Macaca mulatta: one gene and its partners. The protein of the gene in region 1 purifies or fractionates together with the protein of each later gene. This does not show direct contact. Links are inferred from orthologs where the notes say so. Each region holds a gene or a part of one and is shown in the gene's direction. Other genes may lie near its edges.

Region 1 (3,744 bases):
GGGGAACTCAGATTCCTTGACTGTGTGGGGCATGAACTCTCCCAGCTGAGAAGGAGCACAAGGTGCCAACAGGGCCAGTGGCCAAGGGAGACGCGGCTTGTCGAAGGGAGAACCTGGGCCCTCGTCTTCCCTTTCAGGGCGGGCATCTGACCTGCCCCCTGGACAGGCTCCCAAGCACGGCGGAGGCCAAACCTTCCCGGCTGCCGCCCACCCAGCCACGCTGACTTGGAAGCTTGAGCATTCAGCGGCCTCCATCCTGCCCGGAAGGACCAGGGACCTGGCCCCAGCTTCCCCGCAGAGCCCTCGGGGGACGTCTCAGTGCCTCCCGGAGCCCGGACCAGTGCACCAGAGCTGAGGGCCCAGAGGTGTCAGGGTGGCCGGGCAATTGTGTGAGGACGACGCCCCACAAGTTTGCGGCCAGGGCCCAGTAAACCCCTAGGGGTGGGAAAGCGTCGGCCCAACCAGCGGGTAAAGCCCCCTTCACCCGTGACCCAGCGGCCACGACCCCGCGTCTTCATCTCGGGCTGGGACCGCCTCTGCGTCTGGCCTGAGCGGGACCGTGGGATCCCGGGGAGCCCCGCCTCGCTGCATTGACGAAGCCCAGGAGGAGCGACAGTTACCGCTTCCGGTCATGACCGGAAGTGCTGGGAACGGCATTCGTTCTCCATACGAGATGATGCACTTCCTGCCTGGGGCGGCCGCTGTTCTCGCGGTTTCCGGCAGGTGGCGCTGGGACCACGGGAAGCCGGCCCGGTTGTCGGTTAGCCGTCGAGCATTCTGGGAATTGCAGGCCTGGCCCCTCCTCTTCCTGTTCTTCTTGGTCAATTCCGGTCTTGGTTCCCCAACAAATGCCGTCGTTTCCGGGGCCGCTTCCGAGCCGGACCCAAGGGCCGGGGCGTAGAGGGGCGGGCGCATGCGCACAGGGCTACACATCCCGACAGGCGTCGGGAGTGGAGGCCCAGTGCCTTGTGGGAGTTGTAGTTCTGCAGGTGCGGAAACCGCGGCGCTCCGCCGGCAGAGCACTCGGTTTCCCAGAGGGCTGAGCGCGCCGCGCGGACGTGCGGCGCCGACCAAGATGGAGATTGCCGTGCATCCTTGAGCCGGTAGGTTTGTGCTGATGGAGGACGGGCCACGGTGGCCGGCCGAGCCTCCGGAAGGTCACCGAGCGCAGCTTTAAATTGAGCTCGGAGGCCCCGCTGTGCTTGCCAACCCCCGTACCTTGCGACCGGGCCCTTGGCACCCACAGCATCCTCTTGAGGCCCGGACCCGGGCCTGTCCAGCCCGACTTCGCACCGAGAGCCAACTTGGCACTGAGAGTTCGTTCTTTCCCTGGCGGGGAGGTCTTGCTGGCACATAGAGTGGAGAAAGGCCCGGCTCTGCATTCATGTGGAGAAACAGACGGCTTCCTTCAGTCTCCAGACATGAAGGAGTCAACTCTGCCCTTCCACTCATTGCCGGATCTCGCCGAGAACCCCGAGAACGGACTCCTGGAGTCCCTGTCTTGCAGCCCGATCCCCGCTCCCCCTCGGAGTGCCCCGCTGACCAGGCTGCTTCTGGCCGCGGCGGCGTTCTGCTGCAGAGGACGGGAGTGCGAATCTGGGAAGCAGGGGTCTGGTTGGAACTCCAGCTTCGTCTGCAACATACTGTGTGACTTGGGCAAATTATGGCCCCCGCCCCATTCCTGCCAGTTTTAAAACGGTCATCAGTGTGGGGGGTACTGGGTATCGCCTTTCCCTGGGGTGGCTTCTTCACTGAGGAGAGTCAGGCCTCAGAGGAATTGAGGTCCTTCCTGTGTTTGACCTGGTGGAGGGCACTGACAGTCCCTAATAGTACCCCTGACCCCATCCTTGTTGGGTGCACAAGACACAGGTCACTCTGGGCGGGCAAGGAGTGTTGGTAGCAGGAGAGGAGTCAGTGGATGGATGGCCGAGGACAGTGAAGAAGGGTGTGGATGGGCCGTCTTTTTTGCTTGGAAACGCAAGCTCTGAGGCACCTAGTCACTCTACCGCTAAATGGGTACAGGAGGCAGCATTTGTCTGCCCAGCTGGAAAGGCAAGGTATGTGCTGAGTGTTACAGGAGGAAGGTCACTGGAGGTCGCTCCAGGAGCTGCGGGGATTTGCTTCTGCCTAGCAGGGCTGCTCAAGGTGATGGTCGACACCCCACTTTCCTGAGAGCTTGACCCTCAGATGCCAGGGCCTTGGCTGCAGATTCCTTGGGAGCTCCCGGGGATCTTCCAGCAAATAGGAGCAAACCTTTTCCCCATGGATCAGGAAGGTGCCGGCTCTTTGTGGAGTACCAACTGCTCACCCTGCACAGCAAGCAGCTTATAAGTGGCCTTCCTGCCTGATCTCGGCCCTGGGTTTAAGCCCTGGGTGGCTGCTTACTACTAAAATCGCTTAGTAGCTCCAAGCTTGCCTGCAGAGGGTTGGCACGATTAAATGAGGTAACGAGTCAAAAGTCCCTACCCTGAGTCCTAGCCTGTCAGGGGCTCTGAAAACCCAGACTTAGGTCGGTCCTGCCTGGCACCTTAAGGGGTGACAATGTGCTGGCACTGGACACAACCTGTTTCACACATGTGTGCTCTGGTCTGAGGTTGGTCCTCTCCCCCACCCCACCCACCTGCAGTTGAGCAGCTGAACAGCGGCAATGCTGGGGCACTCCCAGGCCTGAGACGACCACGCCTGTGCCACTGAGGACCTTCAGCAGGGCTCCATTCACCTGGCCCACTTGGCTGTCCAGTCACACTCCAGTGTCAACCACTGGCACCCAGCAGCCAAGAGAGGTGAGAGGAGGGCTTGGAGGGGGAGGCGGGACTCCACCCTGTGTGGGACGGTTCTGTCAGTTGATTCTCTACTTGTCCAGGGGCAGTGGATCTGCAGGGGGAACTCATTCTCAATACTTTTCCTCCTGAGAGACAAACTTCCTGGGCCGTTTTGGTTTAGGTGTGGCGTGGCCCTGGGGACCCATGGCTGATGCAGGGACAGGTGAGCCGTCCCCCAGCGTGGAGGGCGAGCACGGGACGGAGTATGACACGCTGCCTTCCGACACAGTCTCCCTCAGCGACTCGGACTCTGACCTCAGCTTGCCCGGTGGTGCTGAAGTGGAAGCACTGTCCCCGCTGGGGCTGCCTGGGGAGGAGGATTCAGGTCCTGATGAACCACCCTCACCCCCGTCAGGCCTCCTCCCGGCCACGGTGCAGCCATTCCATCTGAGAGGCATGAGCTCCACCTTCTCCCAGCGCAGCCGTGACATCTTTGACTGCCTGGAGGGAGCGGCCAGGAGGGCTCCATCCTCTGTGGCCCACACAAGCATGAGTGACAATGGAGGCTTCAAGCAGCCCCTAGCGCCCTCAGGCCGGTCTCCAGTGGAAGGCCTGGGCGGGGCCCGTCGGAGCCCCGCCTCCCCAAGGGTGCCTCCGGTCCCTGACTACGTGGCACACCCCGAGCGCTGGACCAAGTACAGCCTAGAAGATGTGACCGAGGTCAGCGAGCAGAGCAATCAGGCCGCCGCCCTGGCCTTCCTGGGCTCCCAGAGCCTGGCTGCCCCCACTGACTGTGTGTCCTCCTTCAACCAGGACCCCTCCAGCTGTGGGGCGGGGAGGGTCGTCTTCACCAAACCAGTCCGAGGCGTCGAGGCCAGACACGAGAGGAAGAGGGTCCTGGGGAAGGTGGGAGAGCCGGGCAGGGGTGGCCTTGGGAACCCTGCCACAGACAGGGGCGAGGGCCCTGTGGAGCTGGCCCATC
Region 2 (3,644 bases), on another chromosome or scaffold:
TGTTTTTTTTTTGAGACAGAGTCACGCTCTGTCACCCAGGCTGGAGTGCAGTGGCACGATCTTGGCTCACTGCAGGCTCCACCTCCCGGGTTCATGCCATTGTCCTGTCTCAGCCTCCAGAGTAGCTGGGACCACAGGCACCTGCCACCGCGCCTGAATCCACCACGGTTTAATGGCAGGCTAAGCTTCATTATAAAGAGCTCAGTTGGTCAGCTCTTCACCCACCTAATGGCAGCTAAGCATGGTGGCTCACGCCTGTAATCTCAAGCACTTTGGGAGGCTGAGGCGGGTGGATCACCTGAGGTCAGGAGTTCGAGACCAGCCTGGCCAACATGGCAAAACCCTGTCTCTGCTAAAAATACAAAAGTTAGCCAGGTGTGGTGACAGGTGCCTGTAATCCCAGCTAATTGGGAGGTGGAGGTTGCAGTGAGCTGAGATGATGCCACTGCTCTCCAGCCTGGGGGATAGGGTGAGACATCATCTCAAAAAACAACAGCAAAAAAGAACTACCCAAGCAGTTGCACAGTCTCCGCTTTGTCCGTGGAGTTATCCTGCAGGCAAATCGTGCTCTTTTCACCAAGTGGTGTTTGTTTTTTTTTTTTTTGAGACGGAGTCTCGCTCTGTCCCCGGGCTGGAGTGCAGTGGCCGGATCTCAGCTCACTGCAAGCTCCGCCTCCCGGGTTTACGCCATTCTCCTGCCTCAGCCTCCCGAGTAGCTGGGACTACAGGCGCCCGCCACGTCGCCCGGCTAGCTTTTTGTATTTTTTTAGTAGAGACGGGGTTTCACCCTGTTAGCCAGGATGGTCTCGATCTCCTGACCTAGTGATCCGCCCGTCTCGGCCTCCCAAAGTGCTGGGATTACAGGCTTGAGCCACCGCGCCCGGCCAACCAAGTGGTGTTTTATGTGTTCTTTTTTTTTTTTTAAGTCTCGCTCTGTTGCCCAGGCTGGAGTGCAATGGCATGATCTTGGCTCACTGCAGCCTCTGCCTCCCAGGTTAAAGCGATTCTCCTGCCTCAGCCACCTGAGTACCTGGGATTGCAGGCACGTGCCACCACACCTGGCTAATTTTTGTATTTTCAGTAGAGACAGGGTTTTGCCTTGTTGGCCAGGCTGGTCTCAAACTCCTGACCTCATGATCCACCTGCCTTGGCCTCCCAAAGTCCTGGGATTACAGGCGTGAGCCACTGCACCCAGCCATTATGTTTTCTTCATTCAGACATATGGTAGCCATGTCCGCGAGTGTTATAAGGGGGTGACTCCTGGTGCAGGTGTGTTAGAGGCTGAGCTGATTGGCTTTTGTAAAATCTGGGGCCCGAGGATCTGCTCTAGAGATCTGTGCCTGCTGCCCTGTTGTGGCTTCCAGCCTGCCCTGAGCCTTATTGATCTTATCTCTTGCCTCGCAGAGTGAAGATGTCTGGCTGGAAGCAGCCAGGTTGCAGCCTGGGGACACAGCCAAGGCCGTGGTAGCCCAAGCTGTCCGTCATCTCCCACAGTCTGTCAGGATTTACATCAGAGCAGCAGAGCTGGAAACAGACATTCGCGCAAAGAAGCGGGTTCTTCGGAAAGGTGAGCCTCCCTCGGAGGTGCCTTCCACCAGCAGGGGCTCCTGGGGTCTCTGGCCCCTCCCTCGGAGGTGCTGCTTTCTCCCTCCTTGGGGCCCCTCCTCTCAGCAGCTTTCCTGCTCCTGGCTCAGGCTTTTGGTGAGAGTGGATAAGGAACCAGGGACATTTTTCAGGCCTTTTCTCAGGTTGCGTTGCCTCTGCCCTTGGACCCCCATGGGGGAGGGATACTGTGGTGGGCGAGTTCCCATCCCAGAAGGGATGTTGGGGTTGAGCCCTCACTCCTGCCTTTTTCCAGTGTGTGATTTTGGATGCATTGGGCAGTCACTCTGTGGTCCAGGCTTCCCTCATCTGCAGGGTGAGAACCATAGTAGCTCAAAGCCTGTGTCCTGGGGCTCTGGAGATGGTCTCTGTGAAGAGCGGAGCCGGCAGCTGGCATGTGCACACCCTTTGTGGGTGTTACTCACTTTCTCTCCTGAGAAGGCATCGGAGCCCCACGTTGATTGGACTCCTCCCTGCTGCTGACAAGGCTGCGTCTCCTGCCCCCAAGGCAGCGTGTGCCGTCAGCTCAGGCCAGATGATGGCGGGCGGTGTCCCTGCCAGGGAACCTGACTCCATCCAGGGATTCCTGCTAGGATAGAGCTTTTGTGGGCAGTTTGTTGATTTTTCTTTCTGTGGTTTCTCTTGTCACTGGAAGCGTGCAGTAGATGCTGCTGTTGAACTGGGCCCAGAACAAGTGCTGGTCGGGGGCTGTTCTGAAGCCAATCTGTGCAGGTGGCTTCTTTTTTTTTGTTTTGTTTTTTGTGGTTGTGGTTGTTGTCTTTGAGATGGAGTCTTGCTCTGTCGCCCAGGCTGGAGTGCAGTGGCGTGATCTCAGCTCACTGCAAGCTCCGCCTCCCAGGTTCACGCCATTCTCGTCTCAGCCTCCCCAGTAGCTGGGACTACAGGCGCCCACCACCTCGCCCGGCTAATTTCTTTTTGTATTTTTAGTAGAAGTGGGGTTTCACCGAGTTAGCCAGGATGGTCTCCATCTCCTGACCTTGTGATCCACCTGCCTCCGCCTCCTAAAGTGCTGGGATTACAGGCGTGAGCCACTGCGCCTGGCCTATGCAGGTGGCTTCTATACAAATTTTTTTTTTTTTTTTTTTTTGAGATAGAGTCTTGCTCTGTCGCCCAGACTGGAGTACAGGGGCGCAATCTTGGCTCACTGCAACCTCTGCCTCCTGGGTTCAAGTGATTCTCCTGCCTCAGCCTCCTGTGTAGCCGGGAATACCGGGTGTGTGCCTCCACGCCCAGCCAATTTTTGTATTTTTAGTAGAGATGGGGTTTCCCCATGTTGGCTGGGCTGGTCTCAAACTCCTGACCACAGGTGATCCTCCCGCCTTGGCCTCCCAAAGTGCTGGGATTACAGGCGTGAGCCCCTGTGCCCAGCCTTTTTTTTTTTTTGAGATGAAGTCCCACTTTGTCACCCAGTCTGAAGTGCAATGGCACCATCTTGGCTCACTGCAACCTCTGCCTCCCGGGTTCAAGCGATCCTCTTGCCTCAGCCTTCTGAGTAGCTGGGACTACAGGCATGTGCCACCACGCCTGGTTAATTTTTGTGTTTTTAGTAGAGACGGGGTTTCTCTATGTTGGCCAGGCTGATCTTGAACACCACACCTCAAGTGATCCACCCACCTCGGCCTCCCAAAATGCTGGGATTACAGGCGTGAGCCACTGCGCCTGGCCCAATTTTTTTTTTTTTTTTTTGAGACAGCGTCTCGCTCTGTCACCCAGGCTGGAGTGCAGTGGCGCGATCTCAGCTCACTGCAAGCTCTGCCTCCTGGGTTCATGCCATTCTCCTGCCTCAGCCTCCTGAGCAGCTGGGACTACAGGCGCCGCCACCACGCCTGGGTAATCAAGCCCGGCTAGTTTTTTTGTATTTTTAGTAGAGACGGGGTTTCACTGTGTTAGCCAGGATGGTCTTGGTCTCCCGACCTCGTGATCCACCGCCACGGCCTCCGAGAGTGCTGGGATTACAGGCCTGAGCCACCGCTCCTGGCCAGAGACAGCCTCTTATAATGAGGCCAGGAACAGAAAGTTAG
Region 3 (3,644 bases), on another chromosome or scaffold:
GGCTAATTTTTTTGTATATTTAGTAGAGACGGGGTTTCATCATGTTAGCCAGAATGGTCTCGATCTCCTGACCTTGTGATCTGCCCGCCTCGGCCTCCGAAGTGCTGGGATTATAGGCGTGAGCCAACCGCGCCCAGCCTTGTTTATTTATTTTTTAGGCAGAGTGCCACTCTGTCACCCAGGCTGGAGTGTGGTGACACAGTCTTCGCTCACTATAGCCTCTGCCTCCTGGGTTCAAGCGATTCTGGTGCCTCAGCCTCCCTGGTAGTTGGGACTACAGGCGCACACTACTGTACCTGGTTACTTTTTGTATTTTTAGAAGAGACAGGGTTTCGCCATGTTGGCCATGGTGGTTTGAAACTCCTGATCTCAGGTTGTCTGCCCACTTTGGCCTCCCAAAGTGCTGGGATTACAGGCATGAGCCAGCACTCCCTGCCTGCTAGAATATATTCAAAAAGTCTAGTGTATGTAGATGGCCATAGTGTTTTTTTTGTTTTTTTTTTTTTTTTTTTTTTTTTTGTAGAGATGGGGTCTTGCTTTGTTACTTAGGCTGGTGTCGAATTCCTGGCTTCAAGCGATCCTCCCAAAATGCTGGGATTACAGATGTGAGCCACTGTGTCGGACCTCATACTGTGTTTTTTTTTTTTTCAATTTACTTTTGAAATATTTTTGTTCTAATTTTAGTAGCATTTTATATGTGAGAATGCATGGAGAATTCATACATCAAAAATAATTTATATTCTTGGCTTGTTTTGAGTGGCTCTTTTGAGTTTCTGAATTCTCATTGTTTGAACTTAGTCCTTGAAATACCAGTTTTGGGTAAATAAACAATTTTTGCCTCCTTTGTCATTTTATTGCCTTATTAGTTGGAGAAGAACTTTATTTTTTACATTTTTGTTGAATTTTTTACTTTTTTAGAGATAGGTCTCACTCTGTCACCGAGGCTCCAGCAGTGCAGTGGTGCAATTATAGCTTACTACATCCTCAGACTCCTAGGCTCAAGCCGTCCTCCCAGTTCAGCTTCCCTAGTAGCTAGGACTACAGGTGTGCTAGGACTACAGGTGTGCCTGGCTAATTTTTAATTTTTATTTGTGTAGAGATGGGGTCTCATTATGCTGGCCAGGCTGGTTTTGAACTCCTGGCCTCAAGTGATCCTCTTGTCTCAGCCCCTCAAAGCTCTAGAATTATAGGTGTGAACTACCGCACCCCACCTGGACAAGCACTTGTTTAGATGAAGGGTTTTTTTAACTTTTTTTTTTTGAGACAGAGTTTCGTTTTTGTTGCCCAGGCTGGAGTGCAATGGCACAATCTCGGCTTACCGCAACCTCCACCTCCTGAGTTCAAGTGATTCTCCTGCCTCAGCCTCCTGAGTAGCTGGGATTACAGGCATGCTCCACCATGCCCGGCTAATTTTGTAGTTTTAGTAGAGACAGGGTTTCTTCATGTTGGTCAGGCTGGTCTCAAACTCCCAACCTCAGTTGATCTTCCCCCCTTGGCCTCCCATAGTGCTGGGATTACAGGCATGAGGCACTGCGCCTGGCCTCTGGCCTTTTTTAACTTGTTTTTTTTTTTTTTTTTTTGAGACGGAGTCTGGCTCTGCCGCCCAGGCTGGAGTGCAGTGGCCGGATCTCAGCTCACTGCAAGCTCCGCCTCCCGGGTTCCCGCCATTCTCCTGCCTCAGCCTCCCGAGTAGCTGGGATTACAGGCGCCCGCCACCTCGCCCGGCTAGTTTTTTGTATTTTTTAGTAGAGACGGGGTTTCACCGTGTCAGCCAGGATGGTCTCGATCTCCTGACCTTGTGATCCGCCCGTCTCGGCCTCCCAAAGTGCTGGGATTACAGGCTTGAGCCACCGCGCCCGGCCTTAACTTGTTTTTTTTTTGGAGACAGAGTTTTCGCTCTTTTGCAGAGGTTGGAGTGAAGTGGCACGATTTCAGCTCACTGCAACCTCTGACCCCCTACCCAGATTCAAGCGATTCTCCTGTGTCAGCCTCCCAAGTAGCTAGGATTATAGGTGCCTGCCACCAGGCCTGGCTAATTTTATATTTTATTTTATTTTTTTTCTTTTTTGTTGAGACAGAGTCTCGCTCTTGTCACCCAGGCTGAAGTGCAGTGGCATGATCTCGGCTCACTGCAACCTCTGCCTCCTGGGTTCAAGCAATTTTTCTGCTTCAGGCCTCCAAGTAGCTGGGATTACAGGTGCCCGCTACCATACCCAGCTAATTTTTGTATTTTTAGTAGAGACAGGTTTCACCATGTTGGCCAGGCTGGTCTCAGACTCCTGACCTCAGGTGATCTGCCCGCCTTGGTGTCCCAAAGTGCTGGGATTACAGGCGTGAGCCACCGCCCCTGGCCCTAATTTTGTACTTTTAGTAGAGACAGGGTTTTGCTATGTTGTCCAGGCTGGTCTCGAACTCATGACGTCAGGTGATGCACCCACCTTGGCCTCCCAAAGTGCTAGGATTATAGGTGTGAGCCACTGCGTCCGTCCCTTTTAAAACTTTTTAGGGAAAATAAAAATAAATGTGTAGCTTGGGAAATGAGACTATTCATTTAAAGAAGTGTGAACTTGACACATGATTCTTAGCCATATCCTAACATTTTCAAAATTAGTACAGGTGACCAAGAAAAAAAAGAAGAAACAACACAAGATTCCAACAAATGACGAATTACTGTATGATCCTGAAAAAGATAACAGAGATCAGGCCTGGGTTGATGCACAGAGAAGGGGGTAAGAACTTAATGTTTAGAATCTTTAGGAAAAAATGATTGAAAGATGATTTTTACTACATTCACATTTTGAATATATGTGTATATGTTTACACAAACACATACACACACACAAACAAAAAAGTTTGAGGAAAAAACTGCTCAATAGTTTATTTTGAAAATAACCAGCAAATTTTAGTGAGACAATTTATTTTTAAATTTTAAATTTTATATTTTATTTTATTATTATTATTTTTTGAGACGGAGTCTTGCACTGTCACCTGGGCTGGAGTGTGGTGGCGCGATCTCGACTCACTGCAACCTCTGTCTCCCGGGTTCAAGAGATTTTCCTGCCTCAGCCTCCTGAGTAGTTGGGATTACAGGCGCCCGCCACCGCGCCCAGCTAATTTATTGTATTTTTAGTAGAGACAGGGTTTCACCATGTTGGCCAAGCTGGTCTCAAACCCCTGACCTCGTGATTCACCCACCTCGGCTTCCCAAAGTGCTGGGATTATAGGCGTGAGCCCCTGCACCTGGCCCGACAATTGTTTTATTTTTTAAAAAAACTCGTTGAATTCAGGCTGTGTTAGTCAATCTTTCCTTCAAGAAAAACTGACTTTTTTTTTTCAGATGTCGTTTTAAATTACTTTGAGATTCAGAGTTTATGTGGATGAGCCAGGGTAGTGGCTTATGCCTGTAATCCCAGCCACTTTGGGAGGCTGAGGCAGGTGGATCACCTGAGGTCGGGAGTTTGAGACCAGCCTGGTGAACATGGTGAAACCCTGTCTCTACTAAAAATACAAAAATTAGTGGGGCAATGGTGGTGCACACCTGTAATTCCAGCTACTCAGGAGGCTGAGGCGGGAGAATCGCTCGATCCTGGGAGGTGGAGGTTGCAGTGAGCCGAGATCACGCCACTCCACTCCGGCCTGGACGA

Evidence for each region.
Region 2: the proteins of TSSC4 (region 1) and PRPF6 purify together in Homo sapiens (affinity purification with mass spectrometry; 3 studies listed by BioGRID and IntAct, counting the BioPlex papers as one, with this or other methods). This does not show direct contact. The link is inferred for Macaca mulatta from reciprocal best matches to the Homo sapiens genes TSSC4 and PRPF6.
Region 3: the proteins of TSSC4 (region 1) and EAPP purify together in Homo sapiens (affinity purification with mass spectrometry; 3 studies listed by BioGRID and IntAct, counting the BioPlex papers as one, with this or other methods). This does not show direct contact. The link is inferred for Macaca mulatta from reciprocal best matches to the Homo sapiens genes TSSC4 and EAPP.

The regions. Positions count from the first base shown.
Region 1 is NC_133419.1:2,307,618-2,311,361, forward strand, and holds the start of TSSC4 (U5 small nuclear ribonucleoprotein TSSC4), read left to right. Parts: upstream 1-1,055; 5' UTR 1,056-1,103; intron 1,104-2,134; exon of another isoform or gene 2,135-2,275; intron 2,276-2,626; 5' UTR 2,627-2,783; intron 2,784-2,943; 5' UTR 2,944-2,966; coding exon 2,967-3,744. UniProt on the Homo sapiens protein: Protein associated with the U5 snRNP, during its maturation and its post-splicing recycling and which is required for spliceosomal tri-snRNP complex assembly in the nucleus.
Region 2 is NC_133415.1:116,888,279-116,891,922, forward strand, and holds part of PRPF6 (pre-mRNA-processing factor 6), read left to right. Parts: intron 1-1,404; coding exon 1,405-1,567; intron 1,568-3,644. UniProt on the Homo sapiens protein: Involved in pre-mRNA splicing as component of the U4/U6-U5 tri-snRNP complex, one of the building blocks of the spliceosome.
Region 3 is NC_133412.1:107,640,914-107,644,557, reverse strand, and holds part of EAPP (E2F-associated phosphoprotein), read left to right. Parts: intron 1-562; exon of another isoform or gene 563-1,557; intron 1,558-1,867; exon of another isoform or gene 1,868-2,361; intron 2,362-2,611; coding exon 2,612-2,729; intron 2,730-3,644. UniProt on the Homo sapiens protein: May play an important role in the fine-tuning of both major E2F1 activities, the regulation of the cell-cycle and the induction of apoptosis. Promotes S-phase entry, and inhibits p14(ARP) expression.